Linked DNA regions of Arabidopsis thaliana. The protein of the gene in region 3 interacts with the protein of the main gene of each other region in a pairwise test. Each region holds a gene or a part of one and is shown on either strand. Other genes may lie near its edges. The genes, in order: SOS3, CBL1 and CIPK8.

Region 1 (12,167 bases), on a different chromosome or scaffold from region 3:
ATAACCATCAACAAGAATCTTCATTACCTTTGAATTGCACTACACAAAAAGGAGTCAACTTTATCACGTCAACGAAGATTAACAAACAGTAATCAATTATATCTTGAATTTGACATCAATGGGTACAACAATGATCAAAATGGTTCTTCAATTCCTCAGCAATAAGAATCAAATACATGCGTATTAACGGAAAAAGGAATCGTCGATTGACACTGGAAAGATGGGAACTTGTTGAACTAAACGAATTTGAAGAGGAAGAGGAAGATGGAGATTAGAGTTGAAGTTGGTGGGCTTACATTGGAAATGGAGCTGATCAGAGAGATTGAGAGATAGAACTAAAACTGGTTTGGTCCGTCTTGGAGATAGATTAGAGAGAGATTCCTCGGCTTGCTTTGTTTTTCAATTTTTATATATAATAAAGTGTTTATTCAATTAAAAATTCAACATTATTTAATATCTAGAATGTATAAATAATTTTACTCAAGAACTAATTAAAATAAGCAAAAATTATTTTCATAAATCATCTACTTTTAAAATTTCGTTTGATATATATTAATATTATCTACAATAATAAACCATGTGTGTACAAATTTTTTATTGTTATTCTAAAAAAAACACGAATATTTTCATGTAACAAAAATATGAATATCCGCAAAAGGTGGATCATATATTTTGGTATATACAACAATGAAGCAATAATAGACTAGATTTGTAAATATTTAATTAGTAATTATGTATGTGAGATGGAGAGTCGCTATGTAAATAACTAAATATATACAGTACACAAGGCAAGTCCAATATCGTTATCAAGATCGGTTTATTTCCAAATCCTAGCTTACATCTCTATCTTCCTCTTTTAAGATATTGTACAAAAATATTCGTTTTATGTATATTTATCTTTCCTTGCATGGCTTATATTAGGAAGATACGTTTTGCAATTCCATTTCTTCCTCTTCACAAGATGAAACGAAACTTGGAAACGTCCTATTTATGTCCCTACATTTACCAAGAATCTTCTGATTAGTCAATTTGATTCAATGCAACAATCAAAGCAGTTGGTTTGGATCAAAGTTGGTCACGGTGTAAATTATGAACTCACTTTAGATATGGCAAAGTCATGTTCTTGATGAGCGATGGATTCAAGGATACAAAGTCTTTCCATTCATCTATATCGATTTTTCCGTCGTTTTTGCGGTCTGCTTGCACGAAAGCCTGCAAATATATACCACCATTTCCTTATAAATTCTTTATCATATCATCTTCAGTATTGGAATTAATATCTAGTAAACAAATGTGCATCGGTGTGGGAGTGATTACCTTATCCACCATTACTTCAATCATATCTTCGGAAAGAACTAGTTCGGATTCGTGAAGAAGCGCTACTACCATCTCTTTCAACTAATCAAAATGTAATTCATTATGGTATATACATGTTAGATCAACACACATAAACGTTAGTGGAGTAAAACTGTTTAATCTGGAGGGTACCAAAACAAAGTATCCGTAAATGGACTCACTTCTTCTCGCTCGATGAATCCAGTTTGTCGTAAATCGTACAACTTGAAAGCAACTGCAAATTCATGAGAAAATTCTTTGTTAGTTAGCCAATTAAGAAAAGAATATCAAGTAAATTCACATAGAATGAATATGAAACAATTTTTGGGGCTAGAAGAATGACATTTGACTTTTTCATGGACCGGCGCGCTTGGATGGAAGACACCTAAGGACCGGACAAATTCACCAAACTCGATCACTCCATTTCGCTTCACATCAAATACATCAAATATCTGCATATTATAAAACAGAACTTTGTTTAAATTTACATATGTTTTCAATAATGTCACTTGTTCTAGCTAGGTAGTTACTATATGTACCCGATCAGCGAAGAGATTCCTCCGGTTCCTATTTCTGAATAAAGCCAGCTGAAATTCTTCCTGCAACATCAAACTTTTAAACTCTAATTAAGCTATATAGATTACCTAATTGCTGTCTACATATGGACCTTTTAGAGTGAAAGAAGAAACCTTATGAATAAGACCATCATCGATAATTGAGCTGCTTAGCTTCTTGAACAGTTCATACAAAGCCTCCACTTCTTCTACCGTGACTATTGTCCCTCCCATTACAAGTAAAATAAAATTTGAAAAAGTTTACCAAACTCTACAACATGCTATTGTAACATTTAAAGATTGTCTTACTAATAAGATTTTAAACTAAAAACTAACATGGCGTGACGGATGCAAGAAGCTCGGGATCCTCATATCCCGGTGGTCGCATTGCATTCTTCTTCTTCTTCTTCGATACAGAGCAGCCCATACAAACACACCCTTCTCTCAACTGTTATTAGCCTTTGCTTTTCTCACGCTACAACCAAACGCAAATAATCTTGGTTAATTTACAGATATTTCATTGTTCCTAATAATTTGATGATTTTATAAAACACCCTTCGACTGAATCCTACATTCGTTTTCGCTGGTTTTACTTCTACTAAAAATGGTCCTAGAACAAACCAATTAAGATCGAGTGCAATTAATAATAGGCAACTTGTTTAGTTTGTCACGTTATTGACTTTTCTAGTGTTTTTTTTGTGGTCAAACTCAAACAAAGTAAACATATTTTGGCAAACTCACGAGATTACCAAAATGTTTCTAATGAAATTCAATATTTAATTACATATACATACATGAAATATTAATGTAGATGAGCACTAATCATGTACATCTAATGCATGTATATATATATCGTCTATGTATATGTAACATTTGAATTTCGTTAAAGGCAATCTAGCGTCGAATTCATCAAAATCTGCAAGAGTTTGACAAACATCGATATTAAAATTTTGAAAGGGTCGACGTTTGAGCAAATATACAATAGAAGTCGACGGCTATACGAACGATTATGTCATTGGTTTATACATTTTTTTTTTTACATAATAAATACATAGGATATAGGTGGCAAAGTTAGCCATTAAAATAGTTGTAGCTTTCACGACAGCTAGTAAGCTCTCCCTAAACAATCAATTCATTAACAGAAGTAGCCAAAATTAGAACAAAAACAGCGTTTTCCCTATTTAATCTATAATTTAGTAATGATTCACAATAAACGTAATGAAACCAAATATTATATAATTCACAGAAGGTGTAGGCAAGTCGCCGTATTAGCCACGCTAATGACTAGGTGTATAGATATAAGAGATAATTAGTTTACTCCTAATTTTATTATCCCTAATAACATAGATAAATGATCAAAGTCTCCTATGATATATGCATACATATAGATAATACATAAATACAAATACCGGATCAATATCAAATCTAATCGACGTTGGTCCACGTATATACATGAATCAGTCAATGTACTCTAGTAAATATCTACAAAGATGTTTTCTTTTCTTTTCCAAATAAGCTTGAACCTATGTCCAACTCAATCACAAGAACACATTTAAGCGAGTAATACAACCATGTCGTAAGTTTAGGAACATAATAAGAAGCCGGATAGGTTGAATAAATAACGGCTTTGAATGGTAACTCATTATCAAAGTTGTACAAACTGTACAACTTTGACAGTTACCATTCAAAAAAACTTTATCAAAAACGTTACAAAAAGTTTTATTCTAAACTTTTCTGTACAGCTCTTTTAGACAGTTTTGTACTATTTCGTAACAGTTTACCGCTCCAGCTAACAGCTAAAGTTTTGTGTTACCAATCAGACCCAACATGATTTAAGTTGTTTTGGTGAGTACATTTTTAAGTGAAGAGAGACTAGAATGGATTTTGAACGAAAAGGATAGAGAACTAAGAGAAGAGTTACAATATGAATGGCCATGGGACCACATTAAAAAGTGATGCTTTATCAAAAATCAATAATCACGAGATTGAGACAACCTTTTGTTGCTTTTTTCAATGTAGGCAATTTATATGTGTTTTACTAATAAATAAAACAAAAAGGGCTTGATTACACTTACACTAATATCTAGAGACTATATAGTATATTTAAATCTCGTTTTGTTCCAAAAAAGCCACGTAAAATCCTCAACCATACTAGCATTTAATTTGGTACATATCAGAGCCTGTCTTTGACCAGGCAAAGCGAATCTTGAACTTGGAACCTCAAATCTAATATAGTATATATTTGAAAACTACATGAGCCTAGTTGGTTAATTAATGAATCATTAATAATGATCAACTAATGCCTAAGGAAGGTTTTGGTGCATTTGGCTTTTCTATGACATTTCTAATTAATGTATTAATTTATGGACCATTTTGATTTTGTTATGTGTGGAGCCTCCAAATTCTCATTACCTGTTTTTTAGATCTATACGTAATCATACTCAATGTACGTCGTGTAAACAAACTTAGACATATCTAATTTAGAAGCAGTATTTTCATCTTGTTGTTTACTTCTCGCGATCTTTTTGTATAATTAATAACAAAAATGTTGTTTAATCAAACCGGCCACGCAGCAATATGACGTTTTAAAATTAATTATTTTCTCTATAAGTATTTAAATAGTAAAAATGAAAAAAAAAAAAACTTGCAGCTATTGACTTTTATAATTTATTTGCTATAAATAAGTTTATTAGGTGTGGTCTTTGATTTTTAGTAAGAAATCAAATTTGCCATCTCCTCTCCTTAGACTCTAAATCACCAAAAGTGACACAAGAAACAAAAAAACAGTTCTAAATATCTAATGGCTACCAACTAATTAAACACCCACCAAAATCGAACCGAGATGGACCAAACCGGATATGATCCAATTTGTAATCTCTAATCTGAAATAACTTGATTTCGATTGAAACCAAAACCAAAGCCAAATTCCATTGAATGATTAATGGAATGTTGGAAACTATACACTCAATTAGAAGAAAAACAAAAATCAAACGGTTCAATTCAGTCTATAGCACTAAAGAACTCAATTGAGTCAGTTTTAAAGAATGGTTTTGCTTTGGTTTGTTTGTTTTTTCTAATATTTAACCGAATTATACTAAATCTTATCAGAAGATTCCTGGAAACACGGACATATTTTGACTCTTTCTTGAAGAAAACCCAAGATGGGATAAACTTCAAGCTCATAAACCTCCATTTCGAAAAAAAGAGAGAGGAAAACAGTGAATTCCTTTACATATATCTTGAGGTGGACTAAAAATTACGAAACAGAAAACCAAAACATGGAAGTGATAGAAAAAAAAAACATTGGATAGAGATGAAAGATTTTCTCAGCAATGGTGAATCGAAGAAACAAAAAAAATAAGATCAAAAATAACTAACCAAGATATGGATGAATCTCTATATGTTCTTGTCGACTCTTCACTTGTCTCGATCTTGAATAATTGAATAATGGTGTTGGAAGAGGAAAAGGGCAAAATGAGAGTTATTTAAATAGAAGAACAAATTTGTGACGAGCTTCCCAACATCGGGTTAGGTTTGTGTCCGTCCATGCGCAGATGGATCCCGATGTTATGTCGGTTTTGAAAATATATTTTTATATCGTGTACTATAAACTATATAGCAATGTTTCCTCGACCTTCTATTTATGACAAACAAAAAAAATATTAGAGTAGTACTGTTTTCAAGTCCCACCTCACTTTTTAATTTCCTTTTGTTGACACTTGTGGTGGTTGTTGGCAAATAATCTTTTAAAAAATTATAAATATGAGAGGCAGTTTTTGATATAAAAATAACCTAAAATATTATTCACTTCTGAAAATACACCAATTTTAAAAAAGTTAATTATATATTTCATAAGAAATTTTGTCTTACACCTTCGCTTGATGTGTTTGTCTTGGACCTTAGTTTGATGTTTGATATAAATAAAATGGACACTCTTGTGACCAAAAAAAAAGTCGCTAATATATTTCTTAAACTAACTAATACAAATTTTCTTACAGATGATTGATAATTACATTTATACGTATGCTCATTTTTGTAGTAATTATTATGATTCCGATAAAAATGAACTCGATTGTTTATGAAAATTTTAACAATTACCATGAAAACGTAACTATGAAAGAGATATATCACATTCATCATCGTCAAGCTACCAGATTCCACAATGTACATCACTTTTTATAGGGTTTGGAACTTGTCAGCTGATCATACCCGTCCTATAAGAGAGCTTCCTACTCTTACATAAAAAAAAACATGACAACACTGAAACTACATGTGCCTAACTTTTCTAACTTTCGTCATGATCCACAGAGTTTTATTTTCTTAGTTCAATTACAAAATCTTTATTTTATTTATAGTTGACCCATCATTTCATTTGCACTTTTTCAATTAAACAAAAAATTACGATGTGAAATGATAAATTTTCCTTCACTTTTTGCCCACTAGTATTCTCTTTTTGTCTGTTGGATTGGTGATATTTTAAAAGTTTGGTTTTGCTACCATGGCTATTTTCTTATAATATGTTCGTTATGGTTCAAAAAATCTAGTTATTTAAAAAGATCATAGCAGCAAGATCAAAAACAAACTTTTGAAATAGAAAATTGGTGAACAAAATACCATTAACCGAAAAAGAAAATGAAATTTCAGAACAAAAGTGACTAATCCAAAAACACAAAAACCAAACCGATAACCAACAGGTAAACAAACTGTTTGAATCGTTTTAGGTCCAGTTTTACTCTCATTACTCTAAAGACTGAGACTGGATTAGCTCTAATGAGTTTGTGACATTGTGATATTTTTCATTTGTTTTCTTCATTTTCTTGTCTACCTTACGCATTGAACACTTCTCCTCCTCTATCTTCTTCGCTGCCATTCTCACTTTATCTCTTGCTGCTTCCATTTTTCTCAGCTTCACTTCTTCATCCTCCTTTAGTGTAATCGGGAAATGAAATTCCGGTATGCTGATCCAAAAACCATAAATCATATCATCCGCAGTAAATACAGATGCAAGGAATAAAACTCGAGTTTTGAGCTTTACAGTTTAAATTCAAGAACTAAAACGGATACAAGGATCAAGAAAAGGTCAAGTACCTGCACCCGGAATATATGAATCCGTTATCTTTTGCGATAAAACCATCTAAAGAGACTGCACCACCACCATTGATGTGTGGAAGAGCTGCTTTAACTTGCTTTTGGGTCTCTATACCTGTAAATTCCCAAAGAGATTATAGAACAAAGTCTCTCTAAGCCCGTATCCTGAGTAAGTTTGAACAGTGAGCTCCTCTGGAGCCAAATCAATCATGTTCACGGCATAGCCCTTGAAACCCGGTATGGGATCTCCATCGGGCAGCTTTGGGTCATCCATGGCTAATTTCTTCTGAGGATCGTTCTCCAAAAGTCCATCCTTCCAAGGTCTGCGTGTTTGAAAAGATCACTTATGATTCTGTCAGAAACGACTCTAAGGTTTAGCTATCGATATGTTGACAAATACCTGATTGCATCAAGACATAGAACATGAAACCGATGATTGGACTGAAGCCTGAGAAACTCAGCATTATTAGGTCCAATTTGTGCCGATTTGCATACCAAAGCGAGCAACATGTCTTCTCCCAAATATTCAGATAACACCCTGCATACCAAATGACTTCAGATACAAAAGTTTTGGCCACTATGATCAGTAGTAACACTGTGGGTATAAATTTATGTCACCTGCTAAGGGAGGTGGAGGCAACTGAACCAAGAAGTGCTACGAGGCCAAATACTCCTTTCTTTGACAGAAACAGTGACTGTGGAGGCGGTGACTTTCTGTACAAACAACAGAAAACTGATGCTGCAGTGTCATGATGCTTCTCTTCAATCTGTTTCATCATTGATTCTTTGGTGGATAGGCATTCTGGGAACATAGCACCGAGAGGTTCTAGAGAAGCTGAGATAAAGGTTTAGGCAACATGAGCAGGTAAGCATCAATGCAAATTCAATCCCCATCGTAGTTATCAAAACTTCTTCAAATGATAATAGTTACCTTGCAAGGTACGCAACTCTTCCTTAGCCTGGTTTTGTTCAGCTTCCAAACAATGTAGGCGCTCATCTATTTCCACTCTGTGTTCACTGTATCCAATAAGATTTTCTTTAAAGCTCTGCAGGAAAATTCAAAAGTTAACTCGGAAAACAAAAGTTAGATCATTCGAGAAATCGTTCTGCTTTTCCTAGGCATAAATGAAATGTAAACATCAATATCTGTGGCTTAAATGGTGATGGCCATATACCTCAGTGAACTGTGCCACATCCCTCAGGCTCGGGCCAGTTTGGCTACTGAGAGCCGGTGAATATGTGGTTGAAGCCATCTTTGATTTAGGTGTTAAACCCATCCTTGAATAAGATGTCTCATCTCTTTGAAGTATTTGAGCAGGTGTAAGCTGAATCTGTAAATCAAGAGGACATGTTATCAACAACCGGCATTTTCTACTCATTGTAAAAACATATTGCAACTTGTAAGATAACTCAGTCCACAACATTACTACCTTTAAGCTCAGATGAAGCTCGGGAAATCGAGAATGGAAAACCTTGAAAGAAAAGACACCCTCCCTCTCAGGTAGAGAAAGAGTAGGAACTTTGCAGGAACCATGGACAAAGGCATATCTGATTTCACTCTCATCGCTGCTTGAATCAGTTTCAATGCTCATTGTATGGAAACATCCAGATTTTTCATCATGATGGATACTAGTATCCATAACACCATCTGAATCCGTCACTTTAAAAATGAGGTTTGTAAGATTTGAACCAGCAACACAGCATTCAGGCAGCTGATCAAAACAAACGATTTCAGAATGAGAAAGACAGAATAAGAGAAACAAACTAAGACTGCATTGACACAATCAAACCTATGTTACAGATATACTAACCTTTGTTAAGAGCATGAGCTCTCGTCTCTCAGTCTGAGACTCTTTCTTGAAGATCTCATCAATACCAGACATAACCGAGAGAGATACTACATATTAAAAAAAAAGACATTAGAAAATAAGAAGATATGAATTATTACATCTTACAAAAGAATGGTAGCAGATGTTACTAGTTTTCCCATAGCCAGCCGTGACTTGGAGTATTCCAGACAGATCAATGCAGCCACAACTATTAACCTGTGACATCATCAATGAACTTAGAAGAGTAAATAGAACATTGCTAAATTCTTGTTCAGTGATAAACAGAACATTCTCGCACCTTTTGGTTTAAGCCCATCGAGTCATTGATACAATAGCCCTCAATACATATCAGAACATTGGTACCTTCTGCAACATGGTTATTATATCCATCGAACACCTGCATAAAAAATATTGTACATAGCTTGATTTGATGTAATTATTCAATACTTAACAAATAGACCTTTACCTCCAAGATATAATTTTGAACAGTAGAACCTGGAAGCAAATTCTCCAAAGCCTCTGGATACTTCTCAACAACATGCTTCAAAGGTCCAGGATTAACTGAAATATGAAAAGCTTGTGAAGTAAATTATCATTCTACAGAAAAGTACTCTTCTAAATCAGGTTAGTTTGTAACTAAAAACATTTCCTACTGTTGTCAATTTTCTCTGTTCCATAAACAAAGTAGAAATTATAAAAATGTCAGTTAGTTGGAGTAACACTATTTAAGATTTTGCAGCACAGACATATTACTATACAAAATTAAAGCATAAGGCTTACCTTTACAAGAAACTGAGACAGAAAATGGTTCATCAACGCAAGAGATAGAGCAAGGAGGAAGTGAAGAACCCACCCTGTAGACACACCATTATATTGATCAAAGTTGAGATCTTAAAGTGCAGGAACAAAAGAAAGGTCACATGTAAGGAGTCTTACTGAACATTATACTGCCGCGTGGACTTGAGATTAGAAGCAAGTTTCCAACTTCCCACTTTCGAAGACGGTTCAACAACCACCCTTTCGTTAGTAGTAATCGAGTTTCCCTGATCCGCAGTTACACCTAGATGATAATAATACCAAAAAACACACATTAACCAAGTCTTGACACAAACCAAAAGTTTTTACTTCTTCTTAGTCCTTGTCAAAATCTGACTCCTTACCCTTAATATCCACTTTCTTCCATGTCAACTTTGCCTTTTTTCTGCCTCTTTCACTTGTTTCTTGAAAACCGACTTGAATTTCTTCTCCTTTTTCTTCTTGTTCTTTTGCCGTTGTTGTGCGTGTTCTCTTTCTCCCGTACATCCTCTCCACCTTGCTTCTCTTCTCACTTGACTCATCTTCTTTCTCTTTCTCTTTATCTGTTTCAGTCTCATCTTCTTCCAAGTCATTCTCTTCCAACTCTTTCTCTTTCTCTCCATCTTCCTTCTCACCTTTAGTATCTTTAGCTTCTTTTAGATTCTTCACACATGATTCCACATATGTAAGTCTTGTATCCATGTCATCAATCTTCATATATATTCTGTTTAAACCATCTTCCAACTGCTTCTGTAGCTGCTCAACAATTCCTTTTTCACTCACCTTCTTCAGAGCCACCTTTTTCCGACCAACTCTTACCCCAACAACATTCGCATTCTTTGGATTTGCCTCAATCTCACGGCTACTAACATCTTGGATATGAAGCTCTTCAAAACATATTGGCTTATTTTCCTTAATTATACGCTTCGTCCAACCATCAACAATCATATCATCCACATCATCATGTCCAACCTCATCATCCATGATTTGCTTCAAAAGTTCTTTTTCACTAGGAGATGGAAGCATGATACTCTTAATTTCCTGTGAATGAAAAAAATACAATTTGTATCCTATACTCTCAATTAAAATTTAAGGTAATAATATACGATTAAATCATTTCTAACCTTTGTTGTACCAAGAGTATCATACAACTCCGAAATAGGAAAGCCTTTCATACTACTAGGTTTGAACTTCATCTTGCACATCCTAGGACACTCAGGATCTGCTTCTCTAACATGTTTTCTAAAGTTGTTCATTAGATTTGGGATGGTCTCAAACGCTAGAAGCTACAGACAACACCAAAACATTCAAACAGTAGTTATACCAAGTTATACCAGTTGTAACCAGTTTATATATCATAAACACATTCAAAATACATACCTGCATCACGAAGCTAGGAAACACCCATGCTGCGCCCAATTCTTCATCAAAGTGGTCCATGAGATGAAAAATGTCTTTCATATTCTTATCAAATGCTAATCGACCCCATGGGAATGTTTTACACCATTCTAGATCTTCCACGGATTTAAGAAAGAAATCTTCCACAGCCTCTGCTTTTTCCCCTGTTTTTCTCTTCCCAATGATGACGCTGCATAAGAAGAATAGGACCGCCATTTTCAAACGCTCTCTCGAAGATTTCTTCATTGAGAGTAGTTTTGTCTTCACTTTCGCATATGTTACTGTTGCACCAACACCAAAATGCTTACCAGAGAACCCTAAGCTGCCAAATGCTTTATAGTTTTTTGGATAAGAATGGCAGTATAAACCAGAGATGAGTGCAAGTTCTTGAAGAGAATAGCGGATTGGAACACCGTTGACAACAAACCAACATTCCTTCTTCTTATCAACACAAGCGGTGCGAAGAAGAAGCATCCACATGGCCATTACCTTGTGATTTGAATCCGTATGCATATGGAAGAAATGTTTGAACTGTGGATGCTCCCAAAACCATTTCTTCTCCTCACTTGAAAGATGACTCTCCAAAATATTCACCACTTGATGAATATAACACTTTGTTCCTATCTTGAATGGCTTCAAATAATCGGAGGGGCTAAAGTACATTTTCAAGGGTCGTAATGGTTCAGTTTCCTCTTCAGAATCCTACAATCAATATCAAGATGTGCCAAGTTACAAAATCATCTGAGTTATACCAATTTCTACTAAGTTGTACACAGAAACATACCATTGAAATTTGCTTAGTTTCTTCATTATCATCTCCAAGCAACACTTGTTCTTCCGAAGGATTGTACTCTTCACTCTGGCTCGGGTTCTCTGTACGCGCCGTCTTACAAATCTATAAACAAAACCAACAAAAACGAAGAAATTCATACTCGGACCTAAGTAATAACCTTGTATTTTAAAGACACATAAACTTGTAATTATATATGTTAACTATCACAAGTATTATTATTGAGAAACTTAAAATCAGATCCGCAAAAGCTGTCTCAAAGCTATAAGTTTGTGTAGTAACAGAGCAAGTAGCACAATGAAAAAACAAAAAAAACAACGACTCACATCAAGACGGAGTACATTGCACAAATCAGGCTTAAACTTGTCAAATCGAACG
Region 2 (9,966 bases), 2.8 Mb from region 3:
TTCCCCCTCTCCCACCATGGTTATCATTGCTCCATCCCGCAGGCAAAACTGTCATTATTTCATAACAGAAAATACTTAGCAGCCAGAGAAACCCAAAAGCCAATTCAGTCTCAAGCAAATTCGAACTAACCTGGAATTGAGTAAGTGCTAATTGCAGGTGTCTTAGTATACTCTTCATTATCAGACCCAAAAAGATCTTTCTCATCTTCTTCTTCTTCTTCCTCCTCTTCATAAGGATAAACTCCACTTTCTCCATTATCATTGCTTCTATAGCTCTCTACTTTATCATCTCCATGCTCCTCTTTCCCGCCGCTACTTCCACTTCCGCTATCGCTTGCGCTGCCAGAATCCGCACCACCTCCATCTCCCTCTCCATCTCCTCCCGCTGCAGAAGACGAAGACGAAGAAGACGAGGAGGAGGAAGAAGACGAAGAAGCATTACCGGAAGAAGACGATTTCGAACGCGAAGATCGTGAGTCGTTGTCGGAGTCTTCGCCGAACAAATCATCCATAGGATTTTTCTTCGGCGGTGAATCCATGACCAAATTAGGTATCTCTATTTCTCCTTCCGTTGCAGAGAGTTTCCGATCGAATTCTACGCCACCAAACCCAAATAGCTCAGATCCGAGTGTTAAAAGTCCGACCCGACCGAGTTTGAGTTCAGTCGGTTTAAAAGTCAGGCCAGTTTAGCTTTATATAAATTAAAGGCCCATTTTAGGAGCAACTTTTTAAGTAATCCCTGAATTTTCAATAATATTCCAAAAACTCCCAAACTTTTGTTTTTAACTTCCGCACAAGTTGTTACCGTGAGGAGTTGAAGAGAGAAGAAAGAGAGAATTATTAAGAGAGACTATAACCGTATGTATAAGGTATAAATGTAATACAGGGGATACGTAAATAAAGTCATACACTCATACTATACCAACTAGTTTCCTGAAGGTTTTGACATGCTCAAGCCTCTGAGCTTGAGCCTCTGTTACAGCATCTGATGCTTTCAAGGTTCTGTATAGATTCTTATGAAGCTTAAGATACTCATTCTTATACATGGTTAGATCATTATACATATCATTCTCCTTCATATAACTGATAAGCTCCATTACTCTCTCAAAATACCCGCCTCTGAGAAAGTTCACCACAAGCTTCTCTAACAGATCTTGTGTTGTCTTTAAGTTTTTGCTTGCAATGTTCCTCTTGATATCTCCCCACACGATTGTGATCTCCCGGTACATGCCAAGAGATGAGTACATGTCGATCAAGATCCAAAAGCTTTGGACAGTTGGTGGGATTTTCATCTTGGGGATTTTCCGGTAGGTTATTAAGGCATCTCCTTGCATTTTAGCTTTGCAGAAGTAGTAGAGGGACGAGTTTAGCTCATAGAGCATACTTGGAGCTTTCATTTGTTTTCCTGCATTGATTTCCTGAACCAAGAGATCCCTGAGCTCTGTGTTTTCACTGTCTTTCTCTTCAGTTTCTGGTGAAACCACAATTTCATTTGATGGATCTGTAATTAGGCCGGCTTTCGTCATTTGTTTCAGAAGAACTTCTGCATTCCTCAACATCTTGCTCTTGTAATAACCTGACAAGACCATCCTATATGTGGCCAATTCCATGGGATAGCCAGCAGAATTCATGTCGTCAAGAATATCATGAGCAGCTTCTAACCAACCAATAGCAACACAAGCATCAATGACATCAGCACATAACCTGGATCCACCCAGCGAAAACAAAAGCTTTGATAGCTCAGGGAGATTATCATGTCTCTTGTACCCATATACTAACTTGGCAAGAGTCTTGTTTGTGATACCAAGCTTGGAATTGGAATAATTAACAAATGTTGCTTCAGTATCCACTCCGAGAGATGAATCTCTCTGCAAAAGCTTGGGTGAAATATGGATCTTTAACCCAGATCTGATATGGTGTGACCCAACAGGCAAAACCCGAGGCTTTTCAGAATCAAATCCAAGATTCTCAACTGAAACCAAGACCTTACTCTTGCACATATCTAAGGCAAGCCGACCCGCAGAACCGATATCATCAAATTTGAACTCCAGGCTTAACAAATTATCAAAAAAATGCTGATAGTGACCAAGAAGTTGAGGGGGTACCTGACCAATATGCTCCTTGAACTTCCTCAACTCATCCCGCATACCATTCATTTCATAAATACAAGACATGATCACAATCGAGTACGCATCCGCAACGACATCAACTTTTGCCATTAGCTCGATAAGTTCTTGGCCTTTGAGAGAGAAACCAAATCTCACACAAGAACCAAGTACAAGATTAAACAAGACCGTATCAGGCTTCACAACATTCCCGGGGCTGCTATTTCTTTTCCCCACATTGAACTCCACAAAACGATCACAAACCTGAACCAAATAATTCGAAGCTAAGCAAGTCCCAATCTCTGTTTTCACCATATGCATCACAACAAGCCTCAATACATCTGAGGTTAGAACATATCCCTTCTCCAGCATTATTCGAAGGATACTACAAGCAGATTCAACCATCTGAGCTCTCGCTAGAGACAACGACAACTTTGTTAACACATCGCCACTTAACATACCTGGATTTTGCTTCAAAGCCAAACGAGTAAGATCACTAGCCTTACAAAGCCAACCAGCATCAGACGAGTAAGACAACACAGTAACAAATCTGTTCATGATTACACTCTCTGGAAATCCATAGAGGCGTTTGAAATCTTTAAACACGTCCCAAGCATCATCTACACGGTGATCTTTAAGAGCTGTTTCTAGCTTCTTCTTGAGAATTACTTGAGAAGAAACTTCCCAGTTTAATCTAGCAGGTTTAACACTAGTACAGAACAGAGACGGCTTTGAGGTGCGACTACACAAGACCCATGAAATTAGGGTTTCTACGTTACCGCTATCGAATCGACGAAATGATTCTAGAACTAAGTTCCGTTTCCTAAACATTAGTCTAGAATTTCGATTCCAAATCTAGAATTTAACAAAGAAAGCACAACAATGACGAGAACATGATAACAACATACGAATTCTCCAATCGAGAAAGAACCCTAAATTGCTGGAAACTTCGAAATCGAGAGAGAAGAGAGGAACACTGTAACAAGAGAAGAGTGGCAAGACTGTAAATTTCATCGGGTCGGGTCCTAGGACATTCGTACTTTCGCTTTTGCGGTTAAGGACCCAACAAAATCTCAAATTCACGTTTTTGCAGTATAAGATTCCATTGGAACAATTAGAACCCCGAGTAAACGTAACAAATCTTTACTTTTTTACTTGAAAAAAAACAATTACAACAAACGTATGATGTAATATGTACAAACTCATTAACATTTCCTAACTATATGAAGTGAAGGATTGGTGATTACGCGCTTCTTCTTTTTTTTTTTTTGTAAGCTAAAAACCCAAAATTTTAAACTGTTGTGAGAAGAAAAAAGTAACCCAAACAATTTCAAGAGAATATGCTCTACTACTGTTTACAAACAGATGTTGATTACACCGATTAGCTCAGACTTGTTCTTCCAACTCGTGGCAATCTACTCGGTCTTAAACCAGTTTGTTTCTTCATGTGGCAATCTCATCGACCTCCGAATGGAAGACAAAACTCGGAAACGTTGTCGTAATATCCCTGCATTGTTTATGTACAAGTTAATATGACATTTCATTTGGCATTTTTCAGTTTTCTTTGGTTTCCATAAAAGGCAATTTGTAATATACCTGAGATATGGAAGAGTCATGATCTTAAGCAATGATGGATTTTTGTTTACGAAATCACTCCACTCTAATTTATCAATTTTTCCATCTTGATTCACGTCTGCATCTTCAAATGTCTGTTCATATATGAGAAGGACGAAGGAAACCACATTAAGAACATCATCTCTAAATGTATACCATCTAGAAAAATAAAGCCTTAGACAACAACAAACCTTATCGAGTATTATCTCTATGGTTTCATCAGCCAGTTTCATTTCAGATTCGCAGAGAAGCGCGATCAACATTTGCTTGACCTGCAAATATATCACATTCATTAACGATTTCTTGCAAAGTTATTAAGTAAAAGATGAATACTCAAGAACATGGCAAAGATCTATCATGACTAGTATTCAAAGCTTGCAAGTTAGTATTACCTCTTGTCGTTCAATGTAACCCGTGCAGTCCATGTCGTAAAGCCTAAACGTAACTGAGAAAAAATGGCAGACCAGAATCAATAAATCTCTTCACAAAAGCTTCAATAAACACCTATATATGAAACTATCTTATGTCAACTTACAATCTATTTTGTCTTCTAGAGAAGCATTGGGGTGGAAAACATTGAGTGATCTTACAAAGTCCCCGAAATCGATGACTCCTTTTCGTTTAACATCAAACATATCAAATATCTGCGGAAAAGCAATATTGTTTAGGATAATGGACATATTATCTTGGTTTAGATCACTCTTCCAGAAGATGAATCTTGTAAAAGCCTGAAGAATTAAGATTTTACCCTATTAGCAAATATATTCTCCCTCTTCCGGCTTTTGAACAAAGCAAGTTGAAACTCCTCCTGCATACATGTGAAGCCAGGATTAAAAAACAACATAAACAAGGTGGGCCATGAAGGCTTCAAAATTCAAAATCAAAGCAATCAATAAAATAAGTTAAGTTCAAGTCAAACATTAAGGGCTACGATACATTGAATCGATGCAATATGGAACAGACATATCGTCATGGAAGAATAATTATTGCTCAAATAAAGTCAACTAAGTTGAAAAATACTGTAGATGAATAGCGTAAAGAACAAAAAGATACAACGATGGGGTCATGAAAAGATCCAAATTGGGTCAAAAGAAACAAACTTTGTACCTTGTTAATCAGACCATCATCAACAACCGAACTGCTTATGCTCTTGAATAGCTCAAATAATGCTTCAACCTCACTCACACTAACTGGAAAAGAGAAAAAAACAAGCAACACTACGAGATCAAAACAAAGAATTACCAGGAACAAACAAACAAACAAACAAAGAGACTAATAATTCACATTTAGAATTTGCATGGAGAGAGAACTCGTCTTGACAAGTTAAGGAACAAGATTAAGGTGATGGTATTGGTAACAAGAAACATGAGATAGAGTGTTAACCAACTTTGAAGGATCATTACTAGAAATTGTTAGGCAGACAAAGACTCCAAAACACAAAACTAAAAAAATCCAAACCGGAGATAAACTAAATCAGTGAACAGAGAAAGAATGATTTGAATCTAACTGATGATTCTCATCTCATATCAGAAAACAAATGAACATGCAGCTTTGAGAGAAATGAATCTAGAGGAGGTTTAAACTTATAGCGCGAGTAAACTTACAAGCTGTCTCAGAGGCAAGCTTAACAGGGTCTTCGTGTCCTCGAAATTCTTTTGCTGCCTTTGAGTGGAAGCAGCCCATTTACAGATGAAATAAGACGATGAAACCTTATACCCGAGCCCCGGATAACGAAGAAAAGGCGGATAAAATCCAACAGCTAATTCAGCGATATCTGAGATTCTATAGCTTGATTGCTACTGTTTACTGCACAATCATCACAAACATATTTTCAAAATCTACACATATGGAAACAGAACACAAACAATGCCATTTCATTAGAAACAAATCATCTAAAAAAATCTTTGTGAAACGTAAAATTGAAAACAGTCTAGAAGAATCTCAACAACTTTGCTCAAATTTTTTTACCATGGAAGAAAAAAGTGTAAACCCTAGCAAAGTAGCATCAATGAAGAAAGAAAAAAAAAACACAAAGTTCTTCGAATCCATAAGATACGGAGATGGAATCAAAATTGTACCAGTAAAACACGATTCGAAACCAGACGATCAATGTAGAAACATCGAGAATTCCACAGGCCAAAAATCAAACTCAAAAAAACGAAATTCGATGGAAATAAAAGAAAAAGATTCTTAAAAATAAGAAGCAACACTCACCACCCAAGAGAAACGGTTCGCCGGCGAGATCCAGAGAGAGAGGAGCTAGAAACAGCAAAAAGAGAGAAAGAGAGAGGAGACGAAGAAGATTGGTGAACGGTGATGGCAAGATGGATGATCGGACGGTTGAGATCGATTATTTATTTTTCTTTTTCCTTTGGAATGAATTTTAGTAGCGCTTATATGATGGCATATTCGCACGTGTGAATCATAGTAAGCGCGTGTGAGACGAGTCAGTTTTGGAAGTTAATAGAATCGGCGTTTAGTTCAGTTTTTTCTGTCGTCATGTAATTTCAGTTAGACCGAACCTAATTGTACCTAATTCCATAGATTGATTTCTGTTATGTTCATTCTGTACTATTTATCTTCTGTCTTTTTTTCTTTTTACAACTTGATTGTTACGTAAGCATACACGATATTTTCTATGTTTCTGTATACTAAGAATGGGAAAAATATTTTTTGGACAAGAAATTCAAAATTTCTTTTGTTTCTTCTAATATCCATTCACTTCCGGAATAAATCAAAGATCCGTCCATTTTATTAGTCAAAATGGCACCTCTTAGGAATATTCTGAATATACGGAATTGGTAACCCTGTATTATAATAACTTTTTATATAGTTAGTTTATTAGATATTTGCGATGCTCCATAATTTGACTAATATGCAAAATGGAAACGCCAATAATAAAGTCTGGGAAACATTTGTCTTCGACTGATCGTGTTAGTGGTCACCATATCTTCTTTTGGTTTTGCTATCTAAAAAAACACAAGTTTTTTAATCCATTAACATTTTTTGTTTCTTTGGTAAAATAAATCCACTAACATATGTGATATTTACAGGGTGCCATTTTAAAACCATAACACTCTTGACAACTGGAAAAAGGCTCTAAACTGTAATTATCTGTTGAAATGGTTATTAACTAAATAAATCAGATCATGAAGCCAAATCTCTACAAGAATCAATTTAATTATAAAGTATTGTGTTTATGAATTAAATATGTCGTAGACCAGTCGGTGTGGAATTAGTACTTCGGTCTGCAATGTGGCAGGCAAACGTTGACATAATTAGGACCTTAATCACGACCAGACCACGTGTTTATCGTTCAAAACAATAATAATAGCGTATATATATTAAATTTCTTGATTATGATTAGTAGCTTTGATTCTCCTGCCGTTAACTCGATCAATTAGAGTTTTATATCATTTTGATATCTTTAAAGCGGGCTTAAATTGACTCTTTGGTCACCGGCCGTGTTGGGAACGCGTCCTCAAAATGTTTTGTTTAATTTGCGTATACTACGGTATTATAATTTTATAAATGCAACATAATAACATCCGGATCCGTGGCGCAATGGTAGCGCGTCTGACTCCAGATCAGAAGGTTGCGTGTTCGATTCACGTCGGGTTCAATCCCCCGAACAATTTCCGGTTTTTTTTTTTTTTTCTTCTCCTGAAGTCTATCCCATACGGCCCAATCATACTAAGTTAAGCCCAAGAAAGCCCTTATCAATAATTCTAATTTCCCCCCTAATTATACGACTAGGGTTTATCTGTCCTAAGCCATGAAAATTATTTGAAAGGGTTTAACAGAGAGATTCCTCGTAACACTTCCCTCTGTACTAATTTCAAATTCGTTTACGTTTCTTCATCTATTCTGGCTGCTTGCAGCCAATTTTTTTGAAGTTCGAAGCTTCAATTGAAATGGGTTCGTCAGTGATTACTTCATTGTCACTGAGCTTCAAGCAAGTTCCACCAGCAGCTATTCCTGCTTTCCTTGACTGTGTTTTAAGCTCCACAGGCGTATCTCCTTCAACTCTTTTCGAATCTCTCATTGAGCAATTCCCTTTTCGTTTAGAGGTATTGATTGATTGGTTTATTGTTTCACACTTCGGCAATTTGCTTCGGATTGTTCAATTTAAGATTTGAACATGTTTTTGAATAGGATACGGTAAATGGGGACAAGAGATTTGATTCTGATGATTGCAACCACATAGCTTCATTGGTGGCTGGGCTTTGTCATCTACTAAAGAATTTTGGTGAGTTACCAATTTTGAATTTTTAGATATGTATGATGTGTTAGTGATTACAGAATTGTTTAATTGATGGTTATGAGGTTGAAGCAGGCTTTGTTGCTGCGGATAATCATAATGCGTTGCAGCTATTTGTGTGGAGAGTGTTTATTCCATTGATGAAGATGGTTCGTGCATATGATTTGGATATGCTTAATAAGGTAGAAATTTCTGCTGTTGACTATAGTCCTTAGAGTTTTGATCTCCTTGAGATTGTTGATCATTTTGTTGTTTCTTTTGGTTTCTTTGTTTGATTGTACCAGATTGTAGAATCGTTCTTTGATGTAGTGATCGAGACTAATGTATTGGATATGTTGGGAGTGAGCTTGGTGCCATTTTTACTAAGATCAGTTGGTTTTTCGATGGGAATGCGTCAACACGAAGAATCAGATTTCATCAAATGGGGCGACCTCTGCCTCCGTGATTCTTTGAATACAATAGATATGGATGAAAACTACATTGCACAGTTGTCTGGATCATTTCCAATTCCATTGTCGTGCCATCTTCTGAATTTGATTCTGAATGCTGCTTTTCAAAGTCACCAAGCAGCTCCGAAGGTGGAAAGTTTTGCAGCTGGTATGCTTTGGGATTTGTGTAATACGACTGAGCGGCTTTTGTCACAAAGTGTAGAACATCGTTCTTGTGCTGTTAGTTTCCTCCTCCCTGCTATTTTCAAGGCATTCTCTTCTCAGTCATCCTTGAAGATCTCACACCAAGGAAATCTGTTCATACTTTCAAGGTGAGGTTAAGAACCAAAAATTTATGTGCTTTTTGGTTAGTTTTTTTCTTTGATCTCTTTAATGATTTTTAAAGCTGTAAACTCCAGGAATGGCTTCATAAAAAGAATTTGGGAATGCTGCAAGAAGCTGTTCTCGGTTGGATCAATAGAGAGAAGGGATGCTTACAGTGTTCTGTCTTTGTGTCTTTCTTCTGGCTCTTGGACTGACGGAACTGAAAGTTTTGTTTCAGAAAAAGACGCTGTTCAATTTGACTTGAGGTCTGAACAAGAGTTTTGGGATGAAATCAAGATAGGCTTGGTATGGCAAAAATACCGCTATTCTTACAGATTCTCCAATTTCCACAATAGGGTCATCCATGAGTACAAAACATTTCTTTTCAGGTTGTTGATGAGAGCTTAGTAAGGAAGCAGTCATTGCATATACTTAAATCAGTTTTATCCATTATTGAAGTGAGTGAGACCATTTCTGAGAAGAAGCCCGAAGGGAATTCAGTTAATCGGTCTATGACAAGAAAGGAGACGTGGGCAGAAAAGGAAGCCAAGTCGCTTGGCGTCGGAGAATTGTATGGCTCTGTCGACTCTGGGTTGACTAGTCAGCAGGGATGGCAAGCTTTTCTGCTCTTGTATGAGATGCTTGAGGAGTACGGCACTCATCTTGTAGAAGCAGCATGGAGTAACCAGGTCAGTTAATCTCTCTGGTATTTGTAAATATTCTGCTCTTGATGCGTTTCTCCTCTGCTCATTGCTTTTTTTAATCTACCTTTCAGATTGATTTATTAATCAAGTCATCTCTCAGATATGATGGAACCTTGAAATCCGACTGTAATAACTCTCATCATGGTCACATGGAAACTCCAGATGAAGAAGCTAAAATTTTTAATTGGTTAGAGGTTCTTTGGAATCGAGGCTTTCGTCATGATAACCCTCTAGGTACTGTTTGCTTGTTGTAGCATATTGTTTAGTTAGTATTCAACAATTTCTTACACTTGTTCATCAGATAAAATCAGTATTTGAAGTTGTCCCATTGTGGCCAAAAATTCTCTTTTACTCATGGATAGAGCGTCACTTAAAGTAAAGTATCCATGTTGGCAACACACTTTGGTTAATTCAGACCTCCATTTCATATCAGTTCTGTTTCTAATTCATCTATTTCAATTTTAGTCAGGTGCACGGTCATGGAGTCATTTTTCGGTATCGAGTGGAGAAGATACAAAACATGTACACAA
Region 3 (10,726 bases):
GATTAGTGCGTTAATCAGATTTCATTTGGATTAATCTATAATTTGAATTTGGGGACATGTGGGGCTTCGATTTCTCACATAAAGCCGCTGCTCAAGCCGCTCATGCTTCTTACCCATACAAATTCATCTTTTCATTGTAAAAAGATTGATTTTTCAATAAATGTTATACATGTGATTCTACCACTAGAAAACGAATCAAACTATTAGATCATTTTTGATACAACTAATCAGAAAACTAATTATAATTAAGTATGGCTACTTTGCAAATTTAACTTTGTACAAATCCCACTATGGAAGGCAAAAATATAAGTGTTAGGGTATGTCGGTCAAGCTGAGCAAAGGCAAGCCGTTAGCTGAACAGTGGATTCTACTAGTAGTATAAAATTTTCTCCTTTGTTAAATGTGAACCTAAATCTTAAACAAATAAAAATGTTTTTTTTAAAAATAAAAGTAGAATAGAAAAGAGAAGAAGAGAAGAGTCGCGAAAGATTGAAGAAAAAGAGGAAAAGACACATGTCCAGCTCTGAGTTGATCAAACGGACCAATAAAAGTTAGGCTTTTAATTTACTTGTCTCCTTGAATGAATACAAATGTGTCACGTTTCTTTTCTAGCTCTTTCCGGATCTGTCAGGCTCGTACATTTCTCTCCTAGTTTATTGATACCTATAATATTTATGCCATAATCTATATACAGATTTCGCTGGTTATTCTTTGAAGGACCACACGGATCATAGCTCTCGTAGGTCACATTTTGGCTCGTCCAGTTTTTGTTTTCTTTCTTTTGATTAAAAAAGAATTTTTTTCGAGATTTTTAAGAATTATTTAAAGTTTAAGAGGTTCTAGAACAAAAGATTTGATAATACAATTGTTTTATTAAAGCAGTGTAGTTGAGTCGAACTAATTGACGTAAAATGTGTACCAAAACGTGAACCTGAAAACTCAATTCAATAAGTTATAGATGTTTTATATATATAAATCCATGTTTATGTTAATAATCAAAAAATTCAGTTTTATAAAAATAGTTAAGAGATGTTTTTGCAATGCATGTCCTTACACTTGCATAAAATTCATATCTTCTTCTTTTTTTCTTTTCTTTTTTTTTATAAAGAAGAAGTGGTTTTGGTTTCAAAATGACAATTTAATATGACCATCATCTAGTTTCTGTATTTTGGTTTATGTATTGTAGAAATGTCCTCGTGTATCGTTTTGTGAACATAAGCGAAAATCATAGCAAATTAAAACCATTCGGCCAAATGAATAACAAATAAAAAATTCAGTCGAAATACATTACAAATTTGTTTCCAGTTCTCATGCTTTCTATATATAGTTCTATACTTCTACTTAACCAAATCCATTGCATGTGACACTACTACTAGGCCACAAAATATATAAGCAACTTGTCATATCAATCTGTAAAGAAACTTAGTAATTTATGAAATATACTATTGTTAATACATAATAATTTTCAAAAGCAATATAGAAACTTTAGTTAAAAGAACAGAATCATAGAAAGATGTGTTGTAACTTGCACTAGTTTAAGTAATGAAAATGTTCAAACTACTACTAATATCGAATTTCTTCGTCGTCACTAGTAGGAAACAAAAATTATAATTATATTTACGTATATAATACTAAGCATGAAGTACCAAGTTGCAGCTACTTGGTTATATGTTTATGGTGTTATGGACCAACTTGTACTCGTCTTTTGCCATAAACAACTTTAAATTTGTGAAGTTGGAAGCGCCACGACCACTGTAGTTTTTCCATGCCGTAAACTAATATATATATTAAAAAATGTTGACAATTCGAATGATGGATGGTGGTGATCACGATGAATGTAATATGATGGGTTATATAAGTTTAAATTTAGGAAATCTCATGTAAACTATACAAAATCTCGTATATCAATTCCATATACAAACATGAACAACAATAATTTTTTAATTACTTTATAGAAGACATTGTTAGACATTGTAAAACATGAACAACAATAATCTGTTTTTCTTTTTTGTTTTTGAAGAAGTTAAAAGCTAACTAAGATGTGATTTTACTTTTTATGTTTTAATACATTGCAGCAAACTTTTAAGATGTGCATTTGTCCTGGCTCAGGAAAGATAATTCTGTGGGAGGTTTGAGTTTATAATGTTTCTAAGTTCATTCATAAATTATAAAATGTGTTTCATATTGAAAGAAACATTATATATAGATCAACTAGACTATAAAAAAATAGTTCCGATTACAATATATTTTGTACGCATGCATCTGATAAACACCTGTAAGACTGGTAAGTTGAAAGATTAGATTCGAGAGTCAAAAACATTATGCTAAAGTTGGTGAGTAACAATAAGGAATAACATAATGTCAAACTCAATATCATTTTAAATTCTATTTCAGCAGGGTTGACGAATCATAATATTGAAGCCTAAGTGAATACTACTACTATAATATTATTCTTTCATTAAGGAATAATGTGAATGTCAAACTCAATATCACTTTTGGTTCTAGAGCAAACCAACCACACACTTGTGTGAAAATAGAGAGTCTTAACTCTTATCTAATCCCTAAAAAGGAGGGAAAATAGAATGACACTGAAACGTGTTTGAGATGCTGCATCAACTACTTCAAAACGTGGCAGGGAACAAAGCCAATTAACATAGGGACGTCCCTACCAGTATACATATATACTCAGAAGGACGAGACTGGTGAATGTATGAGAATAAATGAATTATGTTGGAAGCATATGGATCATCGCATCAGACCGTATTCAAATCAGGAGAAACTATCAGCAATTTTCACTCAATTTAGTCTTGATATCGTATAAGTTTAGTACAATCTTCTATGTATTCATAAATTAAAACCAAATCAACAAGCTTGTACATATTCACTCGACTAAAGCACTTAAGAAACACAGAGAGTTAAATATTGTTTCTAACTGTCTTCTGTGAAAGCTCTGCTTGAATACCACGCACGTGGATTCAACGTCTTTTACTCTTGGCCTTGGTGACTCGATTTCTCATAGATGCATCTGGCGGCTTCCAAATGATGTCATCAAGCTTACTACAAAAAGTCTTGTAGAACTGCAAAACATAAACTGGTTTTTACTATTCCGGAGTCACACAATCCCTCAAGGTGAACTTATAACACTAAGGTCTCCTTCCGAAACTAACCTTAAGGTATTCTTCTGCGTCTCCTGCTGCATTTTGAATGTCTACCATGAGAATTGATGGTGCAACTTTGAAGACCTTCAGATTTGAAAATGATTAGTGAGACTTCGAACATAGAGAGACCAAAGTAAAAAAGTTGGACTGGTTTTAAGAGAAGTTACTTCTAGTATGACGGAGAAATGAGATGTCTTATTTGCAGATAATCCTTCCACTCTCATCTGAAAATGGAAACGGTTAACAGCTGTTGGGTGCTTTGAGAAGGCTGAGATGATGATATGATATATAAACTCTCAAGAAATGTTAAGATACACATCACAAAAAACAATGAAGCGATTTCAACCGATAAGAATGCCTAACCAAACTCTTACTATAGTACCTCACCTTGTAATTACGAATGTGTGTCTTAAAGCCCATAGACTGTGACACAACTTCCATGCTTGAGAGAACCACGTTTGCTGGCTTGTGTGAGATGAACCTTGTCTGGTGCTTCATGGAGTCCTGTCAACACACATGAAAGATTAGCGTATTAGTTGTATAACATGTAGAAAAGAGAAAGAACAATTAAATAAGGAATAGGAATGCACACAGTGGGGTCACACCCAGTATTGTACCTTTCCACGGTCAAAAAGAGTTGCGAGGTTCAGGCCCTGAGATAGAATAATTAGGTCAAACGCATTTAGAGTTAGTGGACCTGTGTCTCTTGTTCCATCCTGTGCATATGTTTGTTCCTGCAACGTATAATGTTAAATAGAACATCAAATTATTAGATCATGCTGAGTGCAGGCAGAAGAATAATCTCATAAGCTTAGAACAACAGTAACTCTGGAAACACATGATTTATACACAAATACTCAACAGCAAACAAATAATTGTGCTAGCTGAATCCTACCTCCGGATCATCAAAAGCAGCATATACATCATCCAGGTTTACATGTTCGTAATCGATAAGTTGTACAGGAGTGTAATCCTTTAGAAACCACTCATCTTTCCTGATTTCTGCAATTGTAATCCGCTGCCAGGAAAAGAAGAAAAACAAAAGCAAGGCGAGATTTGTCAAGACTTTGCATCGAAAAGAGTAACTGGGACAACTTGACCCGACAACTATGTCCTGTAATTCTTTCAGTTGGCACATTATCCATATTCTATAGACCTTCCAAAATGGTCCAGACAGTTATGGAAGAAAATGCTTAGACTAGTTCTAGGGTCTATTCAAGTGTAGAAAAGAATGATATGTTCAATTGGAGCTGGTCAAAGATTATAGTGTAATCTAGATATCTCTTTTTCAAGCTGCTGTTCTTTCAACATGTAACACATCTTTCAAATACAGTAGCCAGGATTGAAAAAGATCTAAACAAAGCTATCTGCACGGAAACTCAAAACTTACAGTTTCTGGATTTGGATCCAAAATTCTATTAATCAAGGACTTTGCCCCCAGGGCAAAATATGAGGGGCAAGAGAACTCAGCTTTGTCGATCTGAAAAATGTTGGACAATAAGAAGAAAAGGAAACCATATCAGAAAGAAAGTACATAGATGCCTTACAAGCACATAACACGGAAGGTTTAGAGAAAGGGAGTCTTGACTACAGTGAAAATAATTTAGCCATAACGATTTCTATTACAGGTTCTGCAGATATTGCTTGTTCAATCCTAGTGTTTAATTGGGATAATTAAACTAGGCAGCAACAAGAAACTTTACAAAACAAAATATCAAGAATCAAGAGGCAACAACAGCAGAGCTCATGCCTTACTATATAAAGTTGGTAGATCCATTTCATCAAATGGAAGATATCCTGCCATAAGAACATAAAGGATGACCCCACAGGACCAAATATCTGCAACGGCACCATTGTAACCCTTGTGACTGAGAACCTAAACCAAAACGGAGAAGAACACATAAGCTATGATAAGAAAGACATTAAATTTCAAAACATTATGATATTTGATTTACCTCAGGAGCAACGTAATTGGGAGTTCCACATGTTGTCTTTAGGATGGTAACTCCCTTCAGATCAAAGTAAGATAATTTAGTCAATAATGATCCAATAACAAACTAAATTCTCAAAATTTGAAAGAAAAGATGTCACTGAGAACCCCCATTACTTGTTCAGGTAATGCACTGAGGCCAAAATCAGATATCTTGAGATTTCCTTGAGAATCCAACAGAAGATTTTCCGGCTGCAATTAACACAAGACAATCATCAGATCAAGAACAAGTGGTAGAAATGTATTAATTCTTAGCAAGTATTCACCTTTAGATCTCTGTGGTAAACACCTTTACTATGACAGTAATCAACTCCATCAATAAGCTGGTGAAAGTATTTCCTAGCTTCTGACTCACTAAGTCGTCCATTACGAACCTATAGTAGCAATGAAACAAATGAATCATTCAACAATATCTGACAGAGTAAAACGCTGTAAAAATCATCACCAAGAGCTACTCACAATCTTATCAAACAGTTCACCACCAGTAATGTACTCCAGGATGATATAAATCTTTGTACGGCTTGCTAGAACCTAAAAAGGACCAAATATCAAAATCCCAAATGGAAAGCAAGAATCTTTCAGTAAATTATAAAGCAAAGAAGAAGAAGCAAAACATTCACTTACCTCATAAAGACGAACAACACAAGGATGACGAACAAGCTTCATAATCGAGATCTCTCTCTTAATCTGCTAACACATGTCATCAATCTAATCATATCTCAGCCAAAATGAAATCGAAGAGAGTAAGTAGTAAGAAGATAGAGACGGGACCTGATCCACCATCTTGCGCTTGATGATTGTGCTACGATCCACGATTTTCATGGCGACGCTCTCACCGGTCTCTGTATTCTGAGCGAACTTGACTTTAGCGAAAGTACCTTCGCCGATTGTTCTACCTAATTCATACTTGCCCACCTTCCTTACCACCATATTCTCTTCTGCTTCTACTCAATTTCAATTTCACTGCATTTCTTCAAGTCTAGTGTTTGATAGATAGAGAGAGAGAAAGAGGAAAGGCAGAAAAAAAGTTTCGAATTTTAAAATTAAATTTATAACGACAAATATACAGAGCAAAGCTTTTAATTAATTAGGAAAGTCTCAAATTTGGGAAAGAGATAGGTGTTTAAATTGCAAATTGGAATTAAAGAAGCTTTAATCAATAGAAAGCCAAAGTAATTAAGGGAAAATATATAGATTTGTGATTTGTGTTTGATTACAAATCTATGTAGAGCCAAATTAAAGTAACAAGGGGTTGGGGGTTAAAGAGAAGTCAGAAAAGGAGACTTTGACGAAGGAGACGTGTTCGGCGACTACTTGCCACATTCTAATATTTGGTTGTTTACACGTCATTCTTTGTAATGGAAGGTCAGTATATTTATACCATAATTTCACACTAATACGACTCCTAGCTTTTGAAAAATATCTATAGACTTATGACCCATTTATTAGTAGTTAGTGACCAAGACTATGGATACAACGTCGTTATGACTTATTCTATAAAACTTGACTTCGAAATTTCTTCTTTTAGGGAACTTATTTGAAATTTATCCATATTCTAAATAATTGCCTTTTGAAAATTTTAAGAAGCATATTTGAAGATATCTATAACAATTTGCCTTGTGGAAAATTAAGCAAACACATTTTTGAAAAGATAATCGAATAAGGCATACAGTACACTTATCTTCAAAACCCATTATTGGCAGTAAACCAACCATTAATCACCTTTGATCTTGTTTTGGCCACCATATTATGAGATATAATAAGCCCAAACATTTTTCCTTTACACGAAAGCCTTGAGGCCTTCTTAAGAGAACACAATCGAAAAGTTGATTGTATGATAAAAATTAAATTCATGTAAAATGCATTAACTTAAAAAAGGATGAAAGTGACTTTAGATATTAGTATTATTCATTTAAAGAAACAGTACAAAACACTTTTAAATCCTTTTAATTTTGGTTAAGATTCAACAAGTTTACATGATTACCACTTACATAAAACTCTAAATGTCACCTGTCACACCTTAAAATAGAAGTACAAATCTTTAATAGGATTAAAAATCATGTTTGGTCACAAAATACTTGATGATTCTTTTTATTTCTTCATCAACAAAAATAATGTGCAAAACCAAAAATATTTGTTTTTTTTTCTTTTACATAGTCTCCTAAATAATGGAGGTGAAAATGGAGAGAGAGAGAGAGTCCAAACACCAAGACCAGCTCCTTTTTCACCTATCTCTCTTCTTCATCTGAATCAGATTTTGTATCAGAAAGAGAGCACCTGAGCTCATAAATTCTGGATAAGATCAAAGTCAGAGTCTTTCTTGTTTTTCATCACTTACTTGTATGACAGAAGAAGATAGCTCAGCTAAAATGTCAGAGGATGTTGAGAAATATCTCAACTTAAATCCACCTTGCTCCTCCTCCTCCTCTTCTTCCTCCGCCGCTACATTCACGAACAAGTCTCGAAATTTCAAATCTTCTCCCCCGCCGTGTCCAGATCATGTCCTTGAGAACGTTTTAGAGAACGTGCTTCAGTTCCTCACTTCCAGATGCGATCGCAACGCAGTCTCATTGGTCTGCAGATCGTGGTATCGCGTCGAGGCTCAGACTCGATTAGAGGTTTTTATTGGAAACTGTTACTCGCTCTCTCCTGCTCGGCTTATTCACCGGTTCAAGCGTGTTAGGTCTCTTGTGCTTAAAGGGAAACCTAGGTTTGCTGATTTTAATCTCATGCCTCCTAATTGGGGAGCTCAATTCTCTCCTTGGGTTGCTGCTACAGCTAAGGCTTATCCTTGGCTCGAGAAGGTTCATTTGAAGCGTATGTTTGTTACGGATGATGATTTGGCTCTTCTTGCTGAGTCGTTTCCTGGGTTCAAAGAGCTTACTTTGGTCTGCTGTGAAGGTTTTGGGACTAGTGGTATTGCTATTGTTGCTAACAAATGCAGGTACTTTGTAGATCTCTTCTCTTTGTTTGTTTGTTTGTTTGTTCTCAGAGTCTTCTAGAAATGCTTATCAAGTGGGACTTTGTTTTCAGGCAGCTAAAGGTCCTTGATTTGATGGAGTCAGAAGTCACAGATGATGAGTTGGATTGGATTTCTTGTTTTCCTGAGGGTGAAACTCATCTGGAGTCTTTGTCTTTTGACTGTGTTGAATCCCCTATCAATTTCAAGGCATTGGAGGAGCTCGTGGTTAGGTCACCATTCTTGAAGAAACTTAGAACGAACAGGTTTGTTTCCCTTGAAGAGCTGCATCGACTAATGGTTCGAGCGCCGCAGTTAACGAGTCTTGGGACGGGGTCATTTAGTCCAGACAATGTGCCTCAGGGAGAACAACAACCGGATTATGCAGCTGCTTTTCGTGCTTGTAAATCCATAGTTTGTCTCTCAGGATTCAGGGAATTTAGACCGGAATACCTCCTAGCCATCTCTTCAGTTTGTGCTAATCTCACCTCTCTTAACTTCAGTTATGCTAACATTTCTCCTCACATGCTCAAGCCCATCATAAGCAACTGTCACAATATCCGAGTCTTCTGGGTATGTATCTTTATTGATCTCATTGTATAGTATAGTGTAATATCCTTTAACCGAGGACTTTGAGTTACATGCGTATCTTGAAACTTTTATAATGCAGGCTCTTGACTCGATACGTGATGAAGGACTACAGGCAGTGGCTGCCACATGCAAGGAGCTCCGTGAGCTTCGGATTTTCCCTTTTGATCCTCGTGAAGACAGTGAAGGTCCTGTCTCGGGAGTAGGCCTCCAAGCAATTTCAGAGGGCTGTAGGAAACTGGAATCTATCCTGTACTTTTGCCAGAATATGACCAATGGAGCTGTGACAGCCATGTCGGAGAACTGCCCGCAGCTTACTGTGTTTAGACTTTGCATAATGGGTCGCCATAGGCCTGACCACGTGACAGGAAAGCCAATGGACGATGGATTTGGTGCCATTGTTAAAAACTGCAAGAAGCTAACCCGACTTGCAGTATCAGGGTTACTAACAGATGAAGCTTTTAGCTATATAGGAGAATATGGGAAATTGATCCGTACGCTATCTGTAGCGTTTGCTGGGAACAGTGACAAGGCTCTGAGATACGTTCTTGAGGGTTGTCCTAAACTACAAAAGCTTGAGATCAGGGACAGTCCCTTTGGAGATGTTGGATTGCGCTCTGGTATGCATCGGTATTCCAATATGAGGTTTGTTTGGTTGTCGTCATGTCTCATATCCCGTGGAGGCTGCAGGGGTGTTTCTCATGCTCTGCCTAATGTAGTCGTGGAAGTATTTGGAGCCGATGGTGATGATGACGAAGACACTGTCACTGGGGATTATGTTGAGACATTGTACTTGTATCGATCCCTTGATGGCCCAAGGAAGGATGCTCCAAAGTTTGTAACAATTTTATGAGAAAAACTTTGGTGCAAATGAGGCCATGATTGGGGAAAAGCAAAACTAGCAAGCAGAAGATAATGTGTTTGTAAACTGTAAGTGCTTCAGGTACACTGCATGATTTGTTTTGCCATTTTCACTCTTCTTTGGATTCGTTATATACACCAAGAAGAGTATTATAGCTCAAAGGAAGACAATGTATGAAAATGAACGAAAGAATCGTCTATTATTGTTTGTGTTGTAATAATTGTTTTTTCGCAAACATTGCCAGATTTATTTACAGTCATTGCACGATTATTATCCAAAGAATTATTCGTTATACATAACATTTTAAGCTTATCTATTTTGTTGGCTTACTAGTATTTTCTTCACCATTCTTGTCTTCCTCCATCACCAGATGCTCTAAGGTATCGATAAATGCGGTAACTTTCTCCAAGCTTTTCTCATCAAGCCTTGGGACAGTATGGCCTTTGGGATGATGGACAACCACCGGATTCTTGTACGATTCTATCAGCTGAGTTCCGTAAGGTTTCAGAAAATCAGTCTCTCCTGCAACAAACAAGCCATTTATCAGATTCTCGATCATCAATGAACAAGGTTTTGAAGAATTTTCAAATCAGCTTTTGCAGAATGTACCTAAAAAGTGGAGGGAGAGAGTTTCCAAGGAAGACGAATATGCATTCTCGGCCAATTTGGCGGATTTGAGCTTAGCTCCTCCAATGATTATAACAAACTTAATCTTTGGTACTTTCTGAAATGCAATTCCCTGCAAAAGTTGTAAATGAATCAGAAACAGAATTTGTAAATAAATATGATCATGAATACTATAGTGTCATTAGTATTGACGTACCTTAGCTTGCAGTCCTGGTAAACCCCCAGACAAAATTGCACCCTGCAAAATCAAATTTAGAGTTTTCAAAGAGAGTACACAAATCAGACTCTGTTGATGCAATTTCAAATGTAGATAACTTACCTGGGAAAACCCAATGAGACCATCGAAAGGACCAAGCTTGATCATACGATCCTCCAGGTACTCCAAACATTTCTCGAAATTCGTATACTCGGTGAATTCCTGAATCCAAATTACAACGTTAGTACACATACGAATCAAAAGAATAAAGAGAAGAAAGTGAAGAAAAACAAAGGACCTTGTTGAATTGAAACCACTCGTAATAAGGAGGATCAAAGATGCCTTC

Evidence for each region.
Region 1: the proteins of CIPK8 (region 3) and SOS3 interact in a two-hybrid assay, tested with the Arabidopsis thaliana proteins (one study listed by BioGRID).
Region 2: the proteins of CIPK8 (region 3) and CBL1 interact in binary tests that used the Arabidopsis thaliana proteins (3 or more experiments, as listed by UniProt).

The regions. Positions count from the first base shown.
Region 1 is NC_003076.8:8,237,864-8,250,030, forward strand, and holds SOS3 (Calcium-binding EF-hand family protein), read right to left. Parts: upstream 5,581-12,167; 5' UTR 5,268-5,580; exon of another isoform or gene 2,365-5,267; 5' UTR 2,317-2,364; coding exon 2,226-2,316; exon of another isoform or gene 2,124-2,225; coding exon of another isoform or gene 2,108-2,123; coding exon 2,025-2,107; intron 1,948-2,024; coding exon of another isoform or gene 1,935-1,947; coding exon 1,875-1,934; intron 1,788-1,874; coding exon 1,679-1,787; intron 1,571-1,678; coding exon 1,518-1,570; intron 1,399-1,517; coding exon 1,318-1,398; intron 1,213-1,317; coding exon 1,100-1,212; intron 997-1,099; coding exon 918-996; 3' UTR 620-917; downstream 1-619. Other genes in the region: AT5G24275 (En/Spm-like transposon), read right to left, coding at 7,087-7,300, 7,378-7,515, 7,596-7,812, 7,909-8,023, 8,153-8,308, 8,408-8,689, 8,789-8,874, 8,956-9,022 and 6 more.
Region 2 is NC_003075.7:9,812,578-9,822,543, reverse strand, and holds CBL1 (calcineurin B-like protein 1), read right to left. Parts: upstream 6,191-9,966; 5' UTR 5,934-6,190; exon of another isoform or gene 5,798-5,933; intron 5,558-5,797; exon of another isoform or gene 5,526-5,557; 5' UTR 5,403-5,525; coding exon 5,324-5,402; intron 4,910-5,323; coding exon 4,827-4,909; exon of another isoform or gene 4,564-4,826; coding exon of another isoform or gene 4,528-4,563; coding exon 4,468-4,527; intron 4,364-4,467; coding exon 4,255-4,363; intron 4,165-4,254; coding exon 4,112-4,164; intron 3,992-4,111; coding exon 3,911-3,991; intron 3,815-3,910; coding exon 3,521-3,814; 3' UTR 3,191-3,520; downstream 1-3,190. Other genes in the region: AT4G17620 (glycine-rich protein), read right to left, coding at 1-48, 131-539; AT4G17616 (Pentatricopeptide repeat (PPR) superfamily protein), read right to left, coding at 912-2,936; AT4G17610 (tRNA/rRNA methyltransferase (SpoU) family protein), read left to right, coding at 7,634-7,789, 7,875-7,968, 8,056-8,162, 8,265-8,740, 8,828-9,038, 9,122-9,421, 9,508-9,670, 9,902-9,966. UniProt on the Arabidopsis thaliana protein: Acts as a calcium sensor involved in the signaling pathway during growth and development and in response to abiotic stresses. May function as a positive regulator of salt and drought responses and as a negative regulator of cold response.
Region 3 is NC_003075.7:12,612,731-12,623,456, reverse strand, and holds CIPK8 (CBL-interacting protein kinase 8), read right to left. Parts: upstream 6,479-10,726; 5' UTR 6,079-6,478; coding exon 5,920-6,078; intron 5,836-5,919; coding exon 5,773-5,835; intron 5,680-5,772; coding exon 5,608-5,679; intron 5,523-5,607; coding exon 5,415-5,522; intron 5,341-5,414; coding exon 5,266-5,340; intron 5,168-5,265; coding exon 5,114-5,167; intron 5,035-5,113; coding exon 4,909-5,034; intron 4,639-4,908; coding exon 4,549-4,638; intron 4,177-4,548; coding exon 4,054-4,176; intron 3,893-4,053; coding exon 3,776-3,892; intron 3,663-3,775; coding exon 3,546-3,662; intron 3,383-3,545; coding exon 3,326-3,382; intron 3,243-3,325; coding exon 3,168-3,242; intron 3,078-3,167; coding exon 2,976-3,077; 3' UTR 2,743-2,975; downstream 1-2,742. Other genes in the region: AFB4 (RNI-like superfamily protein), read left to right, coding at 7,491-8,092, 8,182-8,680, 8,778-9,548; AT4G24380 (dihydrofolate reductase), read right to left, coding at 9,871-10,079, 10,167-10,296, 10,381-10,602, 10,679-10,726. UniProt on the Arabidopsis thaliana protein: CIPK serine-threonine protein kinases interact with CBL proteins. Binding of a CBL protein to the regulatory NAF domain of CIPK protein lead to the activation of the kinase in a calcium-dependent manner.